Macaca fascicularis: one gene and its partners. The protein of the gene in region 1 binds, or shares a complex with, the protein of each later gene. Links are inferred from orthologs where the notes say so. Each region holds a gene or a part of one and is shown in the gene's direction. Other genes may lie near its edges.

Region 1 (4,088 bases):
GCCGCCGGGCTACGCGGGCTCAAAGGACACCATCGCCCTCTTATGGCCCCGGCAGTACTGGACCAAGGGGCTGGGCTCTAGCGCCTTCCTCCAAGCACGGCGGAGGGCGAGGGTCTGGCCGCCCACTTACCTAGGGCCTTGGGGCACTAGCATTCACGTCACGGACTGCCTGGCAGGGCTGACTTTCTTAAGTGTGGTCGTGCGCCTTGCTTAAGTGGAAGAAATGCTGTCGCTTTGGAGATTTATAAAACAATTGGTTCGATGGATCTTTCTTCAGGAGGCAGACTTGGTTTACCTGCTTTTCTGACCACAGTTGATGTAAATGATTTCATTTAATCCTCTTTAGAGTCCCTGTGCATGGGGAATTACCATTCCCAATTAGTTTGTTGTGAATGTAGGGCAAGGAGAGGGAGACGGTAGTGGGGAACGGGAGAAGGGGCGAGGGGTACGCTCCTATTAAAACGGAGCCGCAGCAAAACCCACAGAGACATGTCTGTTCCCTGCTGAATCCTTAGAACAGCGCCTGGCACACACAGAGCACTCAACTCGCTGTGTAACTAAATGCAAGCCATCTTCGTATTATGTGTGCACTTCCCTTCCCTACCAAATATACCTGGCTTGCAAGGTTTGACCTATACTGTTAGACGATTTTTAACTTGTTTCCAAAAGAAATATTGGAGTAAATTAGCTTGCTTAAAGAAGTCTTTATGAAAGAACAGAACCAAGTGAGAAGTATCTGGAGCCCGGTTTGGAGGTATAGATGATGATGCTGAGCCAGCACCCACGGGGCGGCAGCAATGTAGAATACTGGGGCTACTAGGAACCGTGTGGACGGGGGCTCTTCTCTCTGTTCAAATAGTGTTTTCTGTAGATCCCATCTCTCCATCCTCCTGAGCTCTCTCTTAGAAAATACCGGATTTCAGCAGCTTAGAATCGGACAGAAACTCAGAGGTCCGTTTCTCAATTATCGCTAACTCTTGTAAACAATAAATGGGATGGTGAGTACAAGACAGTTTTGGTAAAAAGTCACACCCCACACAACGTGAGATTGTATTATTCCACGGGTGCTCCCTTGCCAATAGTAAACATGGCAGCTCGGCTCCCTTCCCTTCGGGTTCGCCTTAGTGTTGCCAATTGTAAACATGGCCTCCAGACCGTGAGTTCTCATTGGCAGCTGCTCTGAGTCCCCGCCCTTCCCCGCCCCTCCGAACGCGGCCAGGAGTTGCGGAGTCGGATATCGCGGCTCCCGGCTGAGCTGCGCCTGCGCAACTCATTGGCGCCAAGATGGCGATGGAGATGAGGCTTCCAGCGGCTCGCAAGCCTCTTAGCGAGAGACTGGGTCGCGACACTAAGAAACATCTAGTGGTGCCGGGGGACACAATCACTACGGACACGGGATTCATGCGGTACGTGGGGACTTGGGGGAGTCGAGGCTTCATAGAGCGGCTTCAGGGCTCTCTGCACGTGGTCCAGGCCTCGTATCCCGGTGTGTCTAACTCCCCGCGGGACCCCAGGCACTTGGTCTGAGCATCCTACTCGCCTCGCTTCCGAGCCTCGCGCTTCTTGCCCCCTGCGTCTTGTGTGTCCCCTTCTGCGTTTGTCTCAGCTCCCTGAAACCCTCCACTCCTGACCTCTGGTGGCTGTGACTTTTGGGTCTTCTGCCTGAAGTCCAAATCTTGGAGCCTTCCTTGTAGGAGACCTGGAAAACCGGGGAGGTTTAGGCGCAGGCTCTCTTTCCAGTTTTCAGCTCTCTGAGGGGACGGTGGGTGTTCTTGGCCGCCTCCTCTTCAGTTTAGAATCCGTAATTGTTCGAGCTTAGGGCAAACAGTTACATTGTGCTGCCTGCACCCATTTATACACATTTTGAATCCAAGGGGTGCAGTACAGTGTGTTGTAGTTAAGAGGGCAGGCTCTTTTTTTTTTTTTTTTTTTTTGAGACAGAGTTTCACTCTTTTTGCCCAGGCTGGAGTGCAATGGCGCGATCTCAGCTCACTGCAACCTCCGCCTCCCAGGTTCAAGCGATTCTCCTGCCTCAGCCTCTCGAGTAGCTGGGATTACAGGCATGTGCCACCATGCCTGGCTAATTTTTGTATTTTTAGTAGAGACGGGGTTTCTCCATGTTGGTCAGGCTGGTCTTGAACTCCCGACCTCAGGTGATCCACCCTCCTCAGCCTCCCAAAGTGCTGGGATTACAGGCGTGAGCCACCGCGCCCGGCCGAGGGCAGGCTCTTGAGTCAGACAGTTGGGGTTCCAGTCCAGCTACCATCACATCTTATTAGCGGCATTGCCTCTCCACGGTCAGTTTCCTCATCTGTAAGATAGTGATAATAACAGTATGATACGGTAATGAGGATTAAATGAGATAATTATGTAAGAAAAGAAGTAAAACCAGCCATTATATCATCATCATAGATAACACTAGCGTTTCAACCTTTTTTTTCTGTACATGTATCTATACAAGGGGCACAGCATTCATAGCATTGCCCTTTAACCTGTTAGTTTAAGGCTAGTGGATCCTAGGAAATATTTTTTTTTCATTTTTGAGACGGAGTCTCTCTGTCGCCTAGGCTGGAGAGCAGTGGTGGGATCTCGGCTCACTGCAACCTCTGCCTCCTGGGTTCAAGCAATTCTCCTGTCTCAGCCTCCTGAGTAGCTGGGATTACAGGCACCTGCCACCATGCCCAGCCAATTTTTGTATTTTTAGTAGAGATGAGGTTTCACGATGTTGGCCAGGCTGATCTCGAACCCTTGACCTCAAGTGTGATCTGCCCACCTTGGCCTCCCAAAGTGCTGGGAGTACAGGCATGCCCAGCCCCTAGGAAATTTTTTTTTTTTTTTTTTTTAATGAGACAGAGTCTCACTCTGTCGCCCAGGCTGGAGTGCCGTGGCACAGTCTCAGCTCACTGCAACCTCCGCCTCTGGGATTCAAGCAATTCTCCTGCCTCACCCTCCTAAGTAGCTGGGATTCCAAGCGCACGCCACTATGCCCGGCTAATTTTTGTATTTTTAGTAGAGACGGGGTTTCACCATGTTGGTCAGGCTGGTCTCAAACACTTGACCTCGTGATCCACCCACCTCGGCCTCCCAGAGTGCTGGGATTATAGGCGTGAACCACCGCACCTGGCCAGGAAATCTTAAGATTCATTCTTTCGTTAATGCTTTCAACATATATTTATATTTTGTGCAGTTGGGATATAACGGCAGAGTGAAAAATCTCTGTCCTGGTGGAGTTATAACGGAGAATGTTAGGCAATAATGCAATGGGGAAAAACGTGGAGCAGGGTCAATGGAATGTGGGGGAGTGGTGGCAACGGGGTGGGCTGTGTTTTCAATGGCACAGTCAAGGTAGGCCTGCTGGAGAAAGTGACACCTGAGCAGACCTGAGTGAGAGGGGTGATTTCCAAGTAGCCAGTCTGGAGAAGGAGCACTGAAGGCAGAGGAAGCAGCCAGCACAGAAGCCAGGCTTTGCAGGGGGAGCTTGTTAGCTTTGAGGAACACATTGTTCTTGAAAGGAGAGAGGTCACCTCGAGTTACCCTGGTATCCTTTCTTTGTACCTTTGCCTTGCATCAGGGGCCACGGAACGTATATGGGAGAAGAGAAGCTCATTGCATCTGTTGCTGGCTCTGTGGAGAGAGTAAACAAGTTGATCTGTGTGAAAGCTTTGAAAACCAGGTGAGAACAAAAGGTGTGTATTCCCTTTCTTGCGGCATCCAGGTTGTACAACCAGGCTTTTTCTGCCCCCTCCATATCCCCTACCCCACCCCTGCCTGCCCTGTCATGCTGTAAGTCTGAGGTTTTGACCATGACTGTAGGTGGGGTGGTGCAGATCAGTGTAGGCTTCAGAGGTTTTCCCATGTTATGTCACCACTCCAAGCCTTGGTTACCTCCTCTGCAAAGTGAGTATAATAGCATGGCCTACTTCACAGGATTTTCTTTTTTTTTTTTGAGACGGAGTCTCGCTCTGTTGCCCAGGCTGGAGTACAGTGGCACAGTCTGCACGCTGCAACCTCTGCCTCCCGGGTTCAAACGATTCTCCTGCCTCAGCCTCCCAAGTAGCTGGGATTACAGGCACTCGCCACCACGCCTG
Region 2 (4,242 bases), on another chromosome or scaffold:
CTCTTCAAGACACACTCCCCTCAGACGTCTGCCATGCTCTTCACGGTGGACAACGAGGCTGGCAAGATCACTTGCCTGTGTCAAGTCCCTCAGGTCAGAACCACCTTGCACCAGTGGGAAGTGTTGGGTCTTAAGCTTGTTTGCTGAGGCCTGTGTGTGTACAACCTGCATTTAAAAGAGCCTGTCTCCTGCCTGCCTGTTGGTCACCTTTGCCAGTACCCCTTACCTAGGCCTCCTCATTGGTTGCATCTGTCTGGTTGATACTTGGCTTTGCCACTCTGTCCTGTCCTGGCAGGGGCCATGACTGCCCCCTGCACTAGCCGTAAAGTCTGTCTCGGCCTCCAGCAGTATCACCCAGGGCAAAGGAGTGGGTGATGGCTCCTCCCTCAATCCCATTTTCTGTCCTGACTTCCCCCTTCCCTTTCTTTCTTCTAGAATGCAGCCAATCGGGGCTTAAAAGCCAGCGAGTGGGTACAGCAGGTGTCAGGCCTGATGGACGGTAAAGGTGGGGGCAAGGATGTGTCTGCACAGGCCACAGGCAAAAACATTGGCTGCCTGCAGGAGGCGCTGCAGCTGGCCACTTCCTTCGCCCAGCTGCGCCTCGGGGATGTAAAGAACTGAGCGGGGGAGGAGGTGGCTTCTACTGGCTCCATCTGTCCAGCCGGGAGCTCTTCATCTGCTACAAGAACATTTGAATCCTGGGACCTTTTGAGAGCCCCTCCTACCCCGGCCGTACCTGGAACACCCTCACGAGCAGTCCTGTGACTCAGCGCCCCTTATACTTCTGCCCTGAGCCCTCCACATCAGTGCCATCTGTCGAGAACCACTACCCCCGCATTGCTGTTGATCACCACACTCGCATCTGTAGATAACAGCTCTCCAGCCTGAGCTTTCCGTGTCAGCAAGGACGAATCGTTTTTTGCTGCAGAGAATAAAAGGACCACGTGCAATACTTAATGCTATATGATCTCTATCCCTCTTCCCAGGTGGAGCTCGCTGTTTTGACAGCCCTTGGCCCCTGCTGTCTGTAGAATAAATGCTGTGGCTTCTACTGGCTGCTGTAGTGTTCACCTAGTCCAGCCCCAGAACCCTAAATTTTGGGAAAAGCCCCTGGGGTTGCCTCAAACGTTTGTGGAGGTTGAGGCCAAATAGGTAGGGTGACATGGAGCAAGGCGTTCATAATTCAGTAGATGGGGTTAGTGGAAGCAGAGAAGCCTTGGAGCTGCTCTCCCGCTGCCTTCCAGCAGGAGGGATGGATCAGGCAGCCCTGCACAAGTGGGACCAGGGCGCCAGGGACGCCGGCCGTTCTCCCTCCGAGCCTCCAGCAGGCGCTGTAGCGTCGCCCGTCACTCTCCCGACAGCCCTCACGCAGGCGCGCGTCTTTAAGCAACGGAAGAACCAGTGGGTGCGGCAGTGCGTTGGGCGGAAGCGGCTCTCAAGCCAGGAGCCGCCATGCCCGGGGACCACCGCCGCATCCGCGGCCCTGAAGAGTCGCAGCCGCCGCAGCTGTACGCGGCCGACGAGGAGGAGGCGCCCGCCGCCCGCGACCCAACGCGACTGCGGCCCGTGTACGCGCGCGCCGGGCTGCTGAGCCAGGCCAAAGGCTCGGCCTACCTGGAGGCGGGAGGCACAAAGGTGCTGTGTGCAGTGTCGGGCCCGCGACAGGCCGAGGGAGGCGAGCGCGGCGGCGGCCCGGCCGGATCTGGCGGCGAAGCCCCGGCCGCGCTGCGCGGTCGCCTGCTGTGCGACTTCCGCCGCGCGCCCTTCGCGGGCCGCCGGCGCCGCGCTCCCCCGGGCGGCGGCGAGGAGCGTGAGCTGGCGCTGGCGCTGCAGGAGGCACTGGAGCCGGCCGTGCGCCTGGGCCGCTACCCGCGCGCGCAGCTCGAGGTGTCGGCGTTGCTGCTGGAGGACGGCGGCTCGGCCCTGGCCGCCGCGCTCACCGCCGCCGCGCTCGCCCTGGCCGACGCGGGCGTTGAGATGTACGATCTGGTGGTGGGCTGTGGCCTGAGCCTCGCGCCGGGGCCCGCGCCCACTTGGCTGCTGGACCCCACGCGACTAGAGGAAGAGCGCGCCGCCGCGGGCCTCACCGTGGCGCTCATGCCTGTGCTGAATCAGGTGGCCGGGCTGCTGGGCAGCGGCGAGGGCGGCCTGATCGAGAGCTGGGCGGAGGCCGTACGCCTGGGGCTCGAGGGCTGCCAGCGCCTCTACCCCGTGCTGCAGCAGAGCCTGGTGCGGGCGGCGCGCCGCAGGGGCGCCGCCGCCCAGCCCTGAACTAGAAGCCTGAGCAACGACGGACGCAAGCCGAGGACCGTGCTGCCGCCGTCCCTGAAAAGACCCGCGCCGTCGGCCTCCAGCCTGCGTCGAGGTAAGCAGCCGGAGCCCTGGAGAGCACCTGGGTAGGCTCTAGCAGAGCCAAGGCGCCGGACAGCTGTGGTGTTGGAAAGGGTTTTTACAAACCTCGTTAAAGGAACTTTACTTGAGCCGGCTCTTAGCTTCGACCCAGTTGAGGAAACCTGTGAGCGCATCCTGACTCCCAAGTTGGAAACTTTAGCTGGACTTACCTGGAAGCTGGTACCTAGAGCTGCTGTCATTCAGGCCAGCCAGTGACCCCCTCCGATATAACTGGGCGACTTTTCAGAGGATGGACAAGACGACTGTGCCTTCTGTGTCTGAGCCAAAAGAAAGACCCTTTTATATTTGAAAAACGTCTTATGGTGTGGTTCTTCTTGGTCCGGGATTTAAGAGAGCAAGGCTCTTTTGTTCTTGCATCCCAGGTGTCAAGGGTCGCGGCGGCATTGCCTTAAACGGGTTCTGTTCCTTAGGCCCACGTGAACAGGAGACGGGCTGAAAAGAGCTGCAGAGCCTGAGGGGAGCGCTGTGATTTGGAGAAGCAGCTGCCCCCACATGAACCAGAGTTAGGGGAACTGCTGAGATACGACGAGAGTAGGGAGAGTTGGCCGGGCCGGCGGCTCACACCTGTAATCCCAGCACTTTGGGAGGCCAAGGCAGGGAGATCACCTGAGGTCGGAAGTTCGAGATCAGCCTGACCAACATGGAGAAACCCCGTCTCTACTAAAAATACAAAATTAGCCAGCACTAATAATGGTGGCATATGCCTGTAATCTTAGCTACTCGGGAGGCTGAGGCAGGAGAATCGCTTGAACCCGGGAGGTGGAGGTTGCGGTGAGTGGAGATCGCACCATTGCACTCCAGCCTGGGCAACAAGAGCAAGACTCCGTCTGAGGAAAAAAAGTACGGCCCCAGAAGTGCGCTGAGTGCACCTCGTGCCCCAACCTGGCTTGGTGCTGGGTAGCTGAAAAGGGTTTTGCTCTGCGTAGAAGCCATCTGTCCTTGGCCATGTGCAGAATGGCACAACCCGAGCCTCCACTGCTGGTGAGAAGTGGCACCCTGGTCCTACAAGGAAGACCCTGAGCAGCACCGCAGAGGGCAGGTGCACTGCTAGGAAGGCCAGGTACAACCTGACTGACTCACCACGAGGTGGGGTCTTTCCTGTGTCGCTACCAGCTCTGCTGGTTTGGGCTCAAGACTGCATGGTAGGAAGCTAGGTGACTGCCATTTGGAAGGCGGCCTGGTCCCCTCTCTGCACTCAGCTTCTCTAGGAAGGGCCGACCTGGGTCAGCCCAAGGACCAGAATGAGTTTCTGGGGCCACACCCAGAACCCCTGACCAGGAAAAATACAAATTTTATTTTTTCCCTTCTGACATAACGTGTCTTTCTAGAGCAGGTCTGAAATAGTATCACACCAGTGGGGAGAGGACATAATGTAATTCTGAAGGGTGACTTCCTAGAGTAGATGGGGAGTCTGGAGCCCAAAGAGGGCTGTGTGGGGTACACACTGAGAACATTCCAGCAGTTTCAGGGAGATTGGAAACTCAGGGAGATCTGCTGGCTATCTGTTGACTGGCGGTGTATCGGGAGGGGAGTGAAGATCAGCTGTGTCTGCATTCAGACAAGGCTGAGGGTGCCCTCTGAGGGGAGGGGAGGGGAGGGGAGGGGTGGGGTGGGGTGGGGGGTGGGGGTGGGGGTGGGGGTGGGGTGGGGATGGGCTGTCATCTGCCCCTTGCAAGAGAGCCTCAGCTTCATGAGGATGGCGACCTGGTGCAGTCCCAGGCCACCTCCTAACCGTGTCAGTCCCAGGACCATCATCTCGAAATGCAACCTCTAAAGAAGCTAAACCCACCACTACAGGTTGGCCCTCTGCTTGTCTGGCAAGCCCTGTGT
Region 3 (4,286 bases), on another chromosome or scaffold:
TCAACAAATATTAATCATCTCCTCTGTACAGTGTCCAGAACACACGAGTTCCCTGTCTTGATATTCGATCAGGAGACACAGGAACCAAACAAAATTTTTACACAATTCATTTTAAAATCAGAATTGTGGCAAAGGAGCAAAGAAATACAAGGCCCTATGCAGCCTGCGATAAGGGGACTTGCTCTCTTCTTTCTTCTTCTTGAAGAGGGATCTTTGCCCAGAAGAAAGTCTCTCCTTTATAAAGTCAGTTTCATTCTCCAAAGCCTGAGGGAAAAGGTCTCGCGGTCTTCCCCTGTCCCTCCAAGGAACCTCCCCTGAATACGAGTGGCAGTTAATAAGGAACCCCCGGCCGGGCGCGCTGGCTCACGCCTGTAATTCCAGCACTTTGGGAGGCCGAGGTGGGCGGATCACGAGGTCAGGAGATCGAGACCATCCTGGCTAACACAGTGAAACCCCGTCTCTACTAAAAATGCAAAAAAAAAAAAAAAAATTAGCCGGGGGTGGCGGCGGGCGCCTGTAGTCCCAGCTACTCGGGAGGCTGAGGCAGGAGAACGGCGTGAATCCGGGAGGCAGAGCTTGCAGTGAGCTGAGATCCGGCCACTGCACTCCAGACTCCGCCTCAAAAACTAACTAAATAAATAAATAAGGAACTCCCATCCCTCTCTTCAAGTCGTCTCCCTCCCTCAGGGCCCACAAAGAAGTTGCAAACGGGTTTTGTCCTCTCCTGAAGAAGTGGAAGTTCTTTTCTTCTAAGGAAGTGGCAGATCTTCCCTTCGGTGTCTTCTCCAAGGGGTCTCCCACTTTTTCCCTTCTGTGACAGCCCTTCCTTCATATCCTTCAGGGACCCCACACTCTGAAGATAGCCTTTACATCCCTAATCCCCTTTGGGAAAACCCCCTGGGGCCCAGGTACTCACAGATCTAGCCAATCCCCGAGCCCCAGGCCGCCACAGCAGCAAGAGGGCAGCCTGGCTCAGGCCTCGGTTTGGCCGCCAGACCCTCGCTGCAGCGATCGCTACCGCCATCTTGGCTAGCAACCACTCAGCGGTAGGGCACTCACGTAGGCTAGATTCGGGGCTGCCCCTTTATGTGCCTGACACAAACTCCAGCACCATCTGACAAGAAAATCACCTTCTTCCCATTCTGTTGTAGATAGAATGCACAGAGATTTGGAGAAGAAAACCTATCTACCCAAAATTTTCCCCAGTCGCCTCATTGTAGTTACTCCTGTAACAGGCAAAGAAGAGGGCAACCTGACCACGGCCTCAGGGATTTAGGGCCCGGGGGCCCAGAGTAAAACAGGTCACTGCCAAGGCCTGCCTCCTGTTCTCAACTGTCCAATGGCGTTGCCAGAGTTAGGAGGTGGGACTGGGCGGAGCCAGATTGTTGGTAAACGCTAAGCCACGTGCGGACGCCAGGACTGACGGCCGAGCCCAGCGCGTGCGCAATGGTTACGCAGAGTGTTCGCAGCGCGCGCTGCCGGGCGGAAGTGATAATCGCAGCCGCACGTGGGGTCGGCGCGATGGAGGAGGAGATGCATACTGACGCCAAAATCCGCGCTGAAATTGGAACAGGGTGCAGCCCTCGGGGTCCCGGCTGCAGCCTCCGGCACTTTGCCTGCGAACAGAACCTGCTGTCGCGGCCAGATGGCTCTGCTTCCTTCCTGCAAGGTAAGAACTTACCCAGGTCTTTTGGAGAGGGACTACCATGTACCGTGCAACGGAGTGCCCATCTCCCCATGATACCAGCTGGTAAATGTCACTCCTGCGTTGATACATGATTTCTTGTCCGATTGAATACTACTACATACGCAGGGATACATACATCTCTCCCTCACGACTAGAAAGGAGAAGATAGCTCCATCTTTGTAAATATGTCTGAGAATGACAGGCGGGGCAGACCGTCCCCGCAAGAATTGATATTTCAGAATAGGGAAAATCACCTCACCAGGGTAAATATCGCCCTTAACTAGGTTCCTCCTCCTCACCCCCGCCCCCGCCCGCCCCACACACACGCCCGCTAGGTCCTTGCATCCCGGACTGACGCAAACCTGTCAATTTGCATACTCTGGACTGTGGCGGATCTTTCACCCACGTAAATACTCCTCAAATTGAAGATAATGTCACTGCCCTGGGTTGAAAAATACATCCCCACCGCTACCTCACTGCATCTCTCCACAGGAGTAAATATCCCTAAGATTAGGGCAAGTCTTACCTATAGGGCAAATATCCCCTTCCCCTAGCTAAATAACTCTCAGAACCAGATTAACTCCAAGAATATTTCTCTTTAACGTTTGAGACAGGAGGCTGGGCACAGTGGCTCACGCCTGTAATCCCCACACTTTGGGAGGCCAAGGCGGGTGGATCACCTGAGGTCAGGAGTTCGAGACCAGCCTGGCCAACATGGCGAAACCCCGACTCTACTAAAAGTACAAAAATTAGCCAGGCATGGTGGTGGGCGCCTGTAATCCCAGCTACTGGGGAGGCTGAGGCAGGAGAATCTCTTGAACCCAGGAGGCAGAAGTTGCAGTGAGCCAAGATTGTGCCATTGTACTCCAGTGTGCACGACAAAACAAGATTCTGTCTCAAAAAAAAAAAAAAAAATTTTGAGACAGGGTCTCACGATGTTGCCCAGGTTGGTCTTGAACTCCTGGACTCAAGCAGTCCTCCTCCCAAAGTGCTCATATAGGTACCAGCCACCACGCCCAGCCCCAATACATTTTAACAAAATCTGGCTGCTGTGTTGATTGTGGGGAGTATGGGGGAAAACAGGGAGGTGATGGTGGCTCCAGCCAGAACAGGAGTAGTGGAGGTGATGAGATTCTGGATGTAGTTTGAAAGTAAAACGGACAAAACTTACCTATAGTTTGGTTTGAGTGCGAGGAAAAAGAGTCAGGCATAACTAAGGTTTCTGCCCAGATCTGTACAAGTCTGGAAATCAGGAGAGAGACCCAAGCTGGACATAGGCAATTTGGAACTCTCTGGCTGTATATATGGTATTTCAGCCTATTGACTGAACGAAGTCAGTGTAGATGGAAAAGAGGTCCCAGGACCAAGCCCTAGGCCTTCCAACTTGAGCAGTCAGGGACTTGTGACAAGCAAGCTAAAGGAGACTCAGAAGGAACGCCCAGAGACTTAGGGGGAAACCGGGAGAGGGTGGTGACCTGGGGCCAAGAGAAGAGCGTGTCTGAGATGTGAGGGCTGACAGCTGTTTCGGCCTTACTGACAGCCGGGTCAATGGAGGGTTGATCATTTGGAGGTCAGTGGTGACGATGTTGAGCTGCCGCAGTGGAGTGGTGGGGTCACAGGAAAGGAAGAATAGACAGCTGTTCAGGAGTTTTGCTGTAAGAGGATCAGATAAGTGGGGCAGGAATTGAAGATGGTTGTGGGGTCAACAGGGGAGAGAATTGCTGGAGCCACGTCTTGAAGAAGGTGAGAGGGGAGGGACTCTTGTGCTCAGGTGAAACACAGGCAGTTCATCTGGAGCCAGAGGCGAGTTCTATTTTGGTTTCTCCAGTCCTCAGGGCAGTTTTTCCTGGAACTAAGCACACCTTCCGTGTAAGGGCAAATTGGGCATCCCAGGAAATACCGCCTTAACCAGGGACCTTCCCGGACCCTCCCTCAGGCTTAGCACTTATGCTGAATTGAGATACCTCAAGTTTCTTCGAACCTAAGAATTAAGAAGGGGCCGGGCGCAGTTGCTCACATGGGTTGCTCACACCGGTAATCCAAGCACCTTGGGAGGCCGATGAGGGTAGATCACCTGAGGTCAGTAATTCTTTTTTTTTTTTTGACACAGAGTCTCGCCCTGTCACCCAGGCTAGAGTGCAGTGAAGCGATCGTGGCTCACTGCAACCTCCACCTCCCAGGTTCCAGCGATTCTTCTGCCTCAGCCTCCCGAGTAGCCAGGACCACAGGCGTGTGCTCCCACGCCCAGCTAATTTTTGTAGTTTTTAGTAGAGACGGGGTTTCACCATGTTGGCCAGACTGATCTTGAACTCCTGACCTCGTGATCCACCCGCCTCGGCCTCCCAAATTGCTGGGATTACAGGCGTGAGCCACCTCGCCCAGTCGAGGTCAGGAGTTCTGAGACCAGCCTAGCCAACATGGTGAAAACCCGTCTCTACTAAAAATACAAAAATTAGTCGGACGAGGTGGCACGCACCTATAATCTCAGCTACTCTGGAGGCTGAGGCACGAGAATCACTTGAGCCTGGGAGGCGGAGGTTGCAGTGAGCTGAGATTGCACAACTGCACTCCAGCCTCCTGGGTGACAGAGGGAAACTTT

Evidence for each region.
Region 2: EXOSC2 (region 1) and EXOSC6 share a complex: the UniProt entries of both Homo sapiens proteins name them as parts of the RNA exosome core complex. The link is inferred for Macaca fascicularis from reciprocal best matches to the Homo sapiens genes EXOSC2 and EXOSC6.
Region 3: EXOSC2 (region 1) and EXOSC5 share a complex: the UniProt entries of both Homo sapiens proteins name them as parts of the RNA exosome core complex. The link is inferred for Macaca fascicularis from reciprocal best matches to the Homo sapiens genes EXOSC2 and EXOSC5.

Annotation. Positions count from the first base shown.
Region 1 is NC_088389.1:13,185,550-13,189,637, reverse strand, and holds the start of EXOSC2 (exosome complex component RRP4), read left to right. Parts: upstream 1-1,263; 5' UTR 1,264-1,284; coding exon 1,285-1,406; intron 1,407-3,571; coding exon 3,572-3,673; exon of another isoform or gene 3,674-3,686; intron 3,687-4,088. UniProt on the Homo sapiens protein: Non-catalytic component of the RNA exosome complex which has 3'->5' exoribonuclease activity and participates in a multitude of cellular RNA processing and degradation events.
Region 2 is NC_088394.1:70,113,734-70,117,975, forward strand, and holds EXOSC6 (exosome complex component MTR3), read left to right. Parts: upstream 1-1,412; 5' UTR 1,413-1,452; coding exon 1,453-2,271; 3' UTR 2,272-3,722; downstream 3,723-4,242. Other genes in the region: AARS1 (alanine--tRNA ligase, cytoplasmic), read left to right, coding at 1-93, 436-621. UniProt on the Homo sapiens protein: Non-catalytic component of the RNA exosome complex which has 3'->5' exoribonuclease activity and participates in a multitude of cellular RNA processing and degradation events.
Region 3 is NC_088393.1:48,537,954-48,542,239, reverse strand, and holds the start of EXOSC5 (exosome complex component RRP46), read left to right. Parts: upstream 1-1,456; 5' UTR 1,457-1,521; coding exon 1,522-1,669; intron 1,670-4,286. Other genes in the region: BCKDHA (2-oxoisovalerate dehydrogenase subunit alpha, mitochondrial), read right to left, coding at 917-1,024. UniProt on the Homo sapiens protein: Non-catalytic component of the RNA exosome complex which has 3'->5' exoribonuclease activity and participates in a multitude of cellular RNA processing and degradation events.